Canis lupus familiaris: one gene and its partner. The protein of the gene in region 1 purifies or fractionates together with the protein of each later gene. This does not show direct contact. Links are inferred from orthologs where the notes say so. Each region holds a gene or a part of one and is shown on either strand. Other genes may lie near its edges. The genes, in order: LSM14A and DDX6.

Region 1 (4,342 bases):
TTACAGCATCTTAGTTTAAAAACATTTCATTTTTATCTATGTATCTTTTCAACATGTGTGGTTACTTCACAATAAAAGGGAAAGAACTCTACCCAGAGGGGAAAAAATTAACATCCAGAAGAGAATTCTAAGAATGTCACTTGAGATTAACTCAATTGATAGTTTACAAAGATAACAGAGATCTCTAAATGCATATACATATGGTATTCTAAACTTCATAAACAAACTTTTGGCTTTAATCTGTTAGACTGCCATTCTTCAACCAAATTTTGAAAAACGTGAAATATCAGATATCAAATTACTTCACAAGTCATGTAAATTTTAAAATTTGAAAACCAAACACCCCACTTCTAACTCTGAAATTTGAAATGTCCAGTGTTGACTAGATAGCCATACAGAAGTTTTAGATCAGATGCTAAGTAGAGTAAGGTACGAAAATTTGATAACTACCATTTTTGCAAACACAATTAAATCCCTCAATCTCTATTAAATATTAAATAACTCCTGCTTAAAAAAAAGCATATATCATGTCTGTGGGATTAACTATCAAAGCCATAAGCACAGATATAAATTCAATGATTAAAAAAACTTTTCACTCCTGTGCTTGTATTTATCAAGACATGATACAAGAACAAACTGGTTTGTGAATTCAACTACTACAGACTAATAAAATTGTAGTTTACTGACTCTAGAAGCTGAAAAAAAATGTGTAATGTATAAAATGTATAAAAGAATATAAGAATTCAAAGATTTTTAAAAGACTAAAGTTAGGGACGCCTGGGTGGCTCAGCGGTTTAGTGCCTGCCTTCCGCCCAGGCGCGTTCCTGGAGTCCCGGGATCCAGTTCTGCGTCGGACTCCCTGTGCGGAGCCTGCTTCTCCCTCTGCCTGTGTCTCTGCCTCTCTCTGTCTGTCATGAATAAATAAACAAAATCTTTAAAAAAAAAAAAAAAGGACTAAATTTAATACATAAGAAACCTTAAGAATGTATTAATTTTTGTCATTGTGAGGAGTAAAAAAAAAAGTACAGCCAACTCAATGGTAAGTCATTCAACTGGCAAGACACCTTAAAATTCAGATTAGCTTACAAATACTGTATGTGGGCCTCACTGAGAACTTTAAAAAAGCCTTTTTGAGGGCAGCCCGGGTGCAGCGGTTCAGTGCCTGCCTTCAGCCCAGGGCATGACCCTGGAGTACCGGGATGAGTCCCACGTCGGCCTCCCTGCGTGGAGCCTGCTTTTCCCTCTGCCTGTGTCTCTGCCTCTCTGTGTGTGTGTCTCTCATGAGTAAATAAATAAAATCTTAAAAAAAAAAAAAAAGAAAGTCTTCTTGATAACTTCATAAAGCCATAAAAACTAAGACACTATACAGCTAAATATCTATGGGGCAGTGGAAAAGAAACTTAAGATAAAAAAAAAATTAAGACTCCGTAACTCAGGCATACAATCTGTCCCAACACAAGTGTTATTAAAAAGGACCCCCCAAATGTCACTAAGTACTCGTGTGATGCTGTGAAATAACTTCCCGCTCCGTTATAAATTTGTCTTCTTTTTTTTGCAGACTTAGAAAATTTCTTCCTGGCCCTGGGCCTCTTGTCTCTACCACGGTCTCATTCGTTCCGTCTCTCTACCAGATGTACCTGGAAAGGCTACCTTGGTTATCACCTTGCTCCCCTCGCCTAAGTCATCCCAAACTCGTGAGACCTGAGGAAGCGGGAGCTCAAGTTTACGTTCTTGCCGGTTTTCCGGCGGAGCCAAGGCCCCACCACGTGTGAACGGAAACAAAACCCCACTCAGACGGGGCGACGCTCAGTGAGATCCTTAGGGGCAGGGCCCTTCGGTGCTCCACGCCCCGAACCCGCCGCCGTCCCCGGGACCCGCCGGCAGGGCCCGCGCGGCGCAGCCTTCGGGACGAGGGTGCAACCTGGATCAAGCTCGAACCCGCCTCCGCACCGGGTACCCCGGGCGCACCCCGGCGAGCATTTTTTTTTTTTTTTTTTAAAGACGCGGTTGCACAACGGCCTTTGAGGAGGATTCCGGTTTAGCAGGTAAACACCACGTAAGGCGGACAAGTGGGGCGCGATGTGCCCGAGGGCCCCGAGACCGTCGGCGTCGCGGGGCGAGACCCAAAGTTTTGGCACATCGCCCCCCCCACCCCCCCACACACACTTACTTCACCTGAGGGACGCCGCCAACAAATCGAAATTGAGAACGTGAGAAAATAGGTGCCTCGGAATCAACAAATCTGCAACTAAACTCGAGCTGGGCGGAAGAATTCTTTGAATACTCGGGGCTTTGTTTTGTGGGGAGACGCCAGAACCCCCGAATTTCGGAGTTGGAAGAACACGTCTCTCCGTGTTCTCTGGCCCGTGCTCGGACTTGAGGGCCGCCCCGCCCGCCCCGCCCGCCCCGCTCTCGGTCCTCCAGGTCCCGGATTGAAGGCGCGGACGTCCCCGGGGTGGAAGCCAGGAAGCCCCCGGGGCGCGGGGGGGCGGGGGGGAGGCCGCGGCCCGGCCCCGTGACGCCCGGGCCCGGTCGGAGGGAAGGGAGCGGCCTCCCCGAGGACGGCGGAGGGCGGGGGGGGGGGGGGGGGGGCAGGGGGCCGCGGGCCTACAGCCGGGCGCCGCTCCCCCGCGAGGCCCGCCCCGGCGTACCTTTGGCGAGGGCTACGGTGGAGTTCTCGGTGTCGATGGTGTAGAGGATGCCCTCGTAGCGGATCTCCGCCTTGGAGATAAGGCTGATCTTGCTGCCGATGTAAGGGGTGCCCCCGCTCATGGCGCCGCCGCCGCCGCCGCTCCGGGCCGCTCGCAGAGAGGCAGATCCCGCGCCGCTGTCGCCGCTCCGCAAGCCCGCTCGCTCCGTCGGCGCCTACAGCAGCCGCCTCAGACCCAACATGGCGGCGGCGCCGGCTCCGCTACCCTCCCCCAGCCTCCCGCCCTCAAGCCGCGGCGCGGCGGCGGCGGCGGCGGCAGCGGCGGCGGCGCGGGGCATGCTGGGCAAGGCGAGGCCGCGCTCTCGCGAGACTCAGGCCGGCGGCGGGCGGCTGGGGCCTCCCCGGGCGGCCTCGGGGGTCTCCGCGGCGGCGCCGCCGGGTCGAGTCCCCGGCTGCCGTGCTCGCGCGGCCTGAGAGGCGGCGACTGAGGGAGAGGCGGCGTACCTGGCGGCGCCGGGACTCGGTGGGCGGCGGTGGGGGCGCGCGCGGCGCTCTCGGCCTCCCCCGCGGCCTCCGCCATTTGCAGACCCGTCGCATCTTGTCCTGCGTCCTGCGTCGGCGAATGAGGATCCCTCAGCCTGGAAAGGGGCCCTTCCGCCCCCGAGCTCCCGCCGAGCCCCGTTAGGACCCGGTCCTTTCCCGTTCGAGGCTACTGTGGCCCTCTGGAAGCTCCCCGGGCTCCATCGCAGCATCCCATTACCCAGCCCGTCCCCCCCTCCCCTTCCCCCTCCCCCCTTCTCCCCTTCGCAGCTGCTGGAGCTGGGACTCTGTCCAACACCTCGGGATGCTCTCATCTGGGCTCGTGGCTTTCAGGGCCACTCTACACAGACCAATCCCAGGCATTTGTCTGCTGCTTTGATCAATTCGGAGAACTCTGGACTCAGATCAGCCGTAGACCCCCTCATTCTCTCTAGTTGCACGTTTAATCCGCATCTGATTAACTTTGTGTCTCCAAACCAAGGCTCCCGGTTTTTCCCTCTGAGATTAACCTTCGGCCACTCGGTTCACCACCGCGGGAACTGGTGCTGTTTATCCAACTGCTCATCCTTGGAGTCATCCTGGACTTCTCTCTCACCCCGACATCTGTTCTGATTGCAAATCCTGCCCTCTCCATCGATAATGGGTGACCCGAATCTGATCACTTCTCACCATCTCCATCTCCTGCCTCTCTACAACAAACCCCACGTCCCCTGCCCTTCCCTGCCCGGGGTTACCGCAATCGCCTCCTAAAAGGTCCTTCTACCTCTGTTCTTGCCCCCAGTACTTAACTCTCCACACAGCAGCCGGGGTCCTGCTAAAATCTGTCAGATCATGTCTTTCCTCTACTCAGTACTCCTCTCCCGAGTGATCTCTAGTCACAGAGTGAAAGCCGGACTCCTTACTTAGGCTTACAAAAACATAGACGACTTAACCCCTCGTCACCTCATTTCACCATTCTGTTCTAGCCACCCTTTCTTCACCCAGAACTTTCGCTCTTCATTCAGATCTCAAATGTGACCTCCAGAGATGACTTTCCTTACTGGGGATTAAAACAGGACACCTGCCTGCACCACCATATGCCCTTAGCTTGCTTATGTTTTCTTCATAGCATTTCTCTCTCCCTGATATTATTTGCGTGTGTCTGTCTCCTTT
Region 2 (4,304 bases), on another chromosome or scaffold:
AGAAAGTTTAATTAGCAAACATAGGAAAGTTAGAAAAAAAAAACTTTCCCTTTTAAGAAGGACCCTTTTAGAGGAACTCACTCTATTACAAAGAAATAATACAGATATACTTAGACCAAAACACTCGCCAGGCTAGGAAGAGACTTGAAAAGATGAACTGCCTCAAAAAACCCAAGCCAACTGAGACCAATCTCAAACATTTTAAACTGTCAGTTCAAAGCAACCCAGAGAAGATTAGGTAGAAAGATATTGTGATTAAATTAGCATTAGCTGTCAAATGGCAATCTCTTCCCTTCAGTTTCCTCCCTGATGAATTCTCTAAAAATCCCTGCCACCTCTAAAAGTCAATGATTCATTACCCTTAATTGCATTACAACTCAATGAAGTATCACACAATTTTATTAATGTAAATCTACATATCTTGGAACAAGGCAAGACCATTCATTTTTTTTTTTTTTTTTTCTATTTCTGACAGCAACTGAGAATTCCTGAAATTGAGCTTTTGACTTAACTTTATGTTTTCTGGGGCAAAAATACACATTTGTGACTTTATGGATTTCAACTACAGAGGCTTAACGTTATGAAGAAAAATATTTTTTTCCCTCTTAAATTTTGCCCTTTAAGACAGTAACCAGGGATGCCTGGGTGGCTCAGCGGTTTAGCGCCTGCCTTCGGCCCAGGGTGTGATCCTGGAGTCCTGGGATCAAGTCCCACATCAGGCTCCCTGCATGGAGCCTGCTTCTCTCTCTACCTATGTCTCTGCCTCTCTGTCTCTCTCATGAATAAATAAAATCTTAAAAAAAAAAAAAAAAAAAAAAGTAACTGAAACAGAGACAGGTCTCCATGTCAAAATCTTTTGCTTGAGAAACAGCCAAGAGAATCTTTAGCTAACTTAATACTAAAAAAAACTATTAGCTAAATCCGTTTTAATAACACTTTCCAAAAAAGTGTATCCTAACTTAAAATATTTGCTGTTATCAAAAAATATCGATAAAAAACACAAAAGGAAACTGTTCTAAAAAAAATCTGTGAAAGCCTAAAACAGACTAGCAACTTTAACCAAATTTTCCAAGAAACCCAGAGTACTAAATAGTTGTTTTAAAAAAGAACTAGTCAACCTCCGTTTTTAATTATTCCCAAAAATCAAATTCTTACTTTGAAAAGTAGTAGGTAAAAACAATTTACAAAGGATGGACAATAAAGTACTGTTAGGTTTGTGCTTTTTTAACTCTTCTATTTCTTACCAAAAAATACACACTAGTTTATTAATTGATGGTGATTTTTTTGTGTGCCAAACACCAAAGATTCCAAAACAATAAATCTTTTCCAAGACAACTGGTTATGACTTTTTAAAAAACTGAATATTTAGTTGCTCAGAAGCAAATCCTGATTACCATATACACAAAGCTGTACATTTCTAAGTCTCTTAGAATCTAATGCCTTACGCAGACCGTGGTTAACAGCCAACCTAATTTCAGTTCAAGGCGGTAAATTGTTCCCTGTATCGACAGGTTTATATTATGATCAACAATATCACGGAGTTCACACAAGACTTGTTTGCAAATCCGTAAGATGAAGAGGGCAACCTCTAAAGATTAAGATAAATTATCGTCCCACGAGCTCTCTCTTAATCTAAGACCTCATCTCCCTAGATCCAAAATAGGACTATTACTCCCTTCTTACTTGAACCGAAACCTGCACTGCAGCTTTATGTCTCAGAGAAGGAAATATTCCTCCTACCCCTTCCCAATTTAGACTTGCAAGTTACATTCTACATTTTTCAAAAATACGAACGAAACGTAGACTAGTTGGGAGGAGCCCCTGGCGGAGTTAATTACAGCACTTCCCAGATTGTGTAGTTAGCAATTGACAGTTTCACACCCAAAAACAGTATCGTCATCTCAGACAAGAGCTTTTGTTTGCAAATGCAGCGCAGTTTCTCTAAGCTTGGTCTGCAAGTTGGAGGGACTGTTTTCTTCTGAGGGGAACGGGGGAGGGGGTGGGAGGGCTGTGGTAGAGAAAAGGGAGTGAAGGATGAGGGGGGACAAGCCAATGATTCGAACCCCGGATTGTGAGGTAATTTCTCGCTCCCCAACACGCCCCCCCCCAAACCACACACTTCAAGTCAGCCAGCCCCCTGTGACCATAAACACAAAAGGGTTGGGGCCCTATCTTCGCAGCTGCGCCACAAGAGCAGGGAACCAACTCCGCGGGCAGGAAACAATAGGGACTACCCCCAGAAGGCCCCAAAGAGAAACCCTTAAGTCAGAAAGCCCCTCCTTTTCCTCCACGACTCGGGGGCTCCATAATCACCCTCTTGTTACCGACCTACGAGGCCTTATTCCAAGCCAGCAGCAGCGGGTCCTCCTCCAAATCGAGCCCTCCGACGCTGCATGTCCCTGCCGCCCCCTATAGGGCCGCCTCGTACCCTATAACCTCCGCCATCCCCCGAAGTCCTTGCCGCCCCTGCGGACCCAGGTCCCCTCGTCCTCCACAAAGCTCCTCCGAGTACTTCGCCCGCTCCCTCTCCGGACCCCGCCGCGCAGGACACCCCCATACTCGACTCCGCTCAGGCGCCCCCCGCCCCACACGGCTGCCGCCCGCCGCCCGCCGCCCGCCTTCTTCCCCGGGACCCGGCCAGGCCTCAGGCCTCCGCCTCAGAGCACCCCCCCCCCCCCGCCGGCCGAGGGGCTCCCCGCGGCCCCGACCGCACCGCTGACCTCGACCCCACCACCTCACCCCACTCCCCGAGGCTCGGGCCCGAGTCCTACCGCCGAGGCCACTCCCGCTCGGCACCCTCGGTCCTTTATTGTTGACTCGAAGCTCCCAAAATGGCGGCGGCTCCTTCCTCCTCGGAAACCTCCGCCCGCCCCCACCCGGCCCCTCGCTTCTGCCGCCGCCTCCTCCTCCCGCCCCCGCCCCCGCCCCGCTCCGGGGGCCGCTCCCGGGCCGCCCGCGCCCGCCGGCTCTCCCGGCCGCCCGGCCCTACCTCCGCCGCTGCCCGCTCTCATGGCGCCGCCGGAGTCGCCGCCCGGGCTGAGCTAACTCGGCTGCTCTGCCCCTCCCCCGCCCGCCCGCCGCCCCCTCCCCCTCCGCTCCCCCTCCCCCTGCCTGTCCGCATGGCGGCGGCCGCGGCTCCTCCTCCACGCAAGATGGCGAGAGCTCCGCCGCCGCCGCCGCCGCAGCCGCCGCCGCCGCGCCTGCCGCGGCGTCACGGCCTCCTCGGCTTCGCGGCCGGCGCGGCGTTGGCCGGGGAACCTCCCCGAGGAGCAAACAGACGGCGGTGCTCTCACACCGACCGGGGCGACGGAGACTCGCAGGGGAGACACGGGTTCCTTTCAGAGTGGGACGGAGGGCTAGCTTTCTCCACAGCTGAGGAGAAACGAGTGGGGACACGGTGGCCGGGGAGAGGCGGCCCTGCAAGTCAAGCGGGGCTTGTGACCAGAGGAGGGGCGCCTTGTTCCCGAGCGAGGACGCGGCGTCCGGGCCGCGCGGCTCGGGGACGGGAGAGCTGACCTGACGTCCCCCGCGGGCCGCGGCAGCCGCTGCAGAGCCGGGGGCCTGCGGAGCCGGGGGCCGCGGCCGAGCCCCTGCGGGCGCGCCTCAGCCGGGAGCGCCTCAGCCGGGAGCGCGCCGCACTAGAGGCCCGGAGGTGCCGGCGCGCGCCGGGTGTGAGGACCGGAAGGGGGGCGACGGCCCCGCTGAGGGGGGGCGGGGGCGCGGGCTGCGACCTCCCCGCCGGGAAGGGAAAGCTGCTGAGGAGTCACTTCTCGTGGAAATAGGAACCAGACGGCGGCCGAGGGCGAGTCTTCCCGGGCCTGACCCCCCGCCCCCGCCCCCCCCCGCCCCCGCCCCGACCGCTGCTTCTCTAGCTCCGTGGCCGCCCGGCGGCCTCCTAACTACTCGTCCTGTCCTGATGGCTGCGCTTCTCCTGGGCAGGAGTGTGGGGAGCGCTGTGTGGCCCCGGGTGAGAGGAAAACTGGAAGCCAGGAAGCTGGTCAGGTCAAGGGAGTGGCGGCCCCCGGGTGTCCCCAGCGGACCGACCGGAAGCGGGACCCCCGCGCTCCCGGCGTCCCCGGCCAGTTCCCCAATTTTTGCCCCAGCTCCCAACTCGGGGCCAATCAGAGAAAGCCAAATCTGTTCCCCAAACCGACCGCTCGGACACGCCCCGCGGCTGGTTAGCCTGCCTCCTGCTCCCTCACGCCGGCAGCCTCCAATCACAGCGAGCCTCGGGACCTCCCTGCGTCCCCGCCGGTCTCCGCCGAACTCGGGAAGGGGCCGGCGGCCTCGCTCAGCGGGCTCCG

What was found.
Region 2: the proteins of LSM14A (region 1) and DDX6 purify together in Homo sapiens (affinity purification with mass spectrometry; 4 studies listed by BioGRID and IntAct, with this or other methods). This does not show direct contact. The link is inferred for Canis lupus familiaris from reciprocal best matches to the Homo sapiens genes LSM14A and DDX6.

The regions. Positions count from the first base shown.
Region 1 is NC_049222.1:118,955,195-118,959,536, forward strand, and holds the start of LSM14A (protein LSM14 homolog A), read right to left. Parts: upstream 2,973-4,342; 5' UTR 2,773-2,972; coding exon 2,652-2,772; intron 1-2,651. UniProt on the Homo sapiens protein: Essential for formation of P-bodies, cytoplasmic structures that provide storage sites for translationally inactive mRNAs and protect them from degradation. Acts as a repressor of mRNA translation. May play a role in mitotic spindle assembly.
Region 2 is NC_049226.1:15,026,462-15,030,765, reverse strand, and holds the start of DDX6 (probable ATP-dependent RNA helicase DDX6), read right to left. Parts: upstream 3,054-4,304; 5' UTR 2,990-3,053; intron 2,876-2,989; exon of another isoform or gene 2,772-2,875; intron 2,765-2,771; exon of another isoform or gene 2,740-2,764; intron 1,913-2,739; exon of another isoform or gene 1,776-1,912; intron 1-1,775.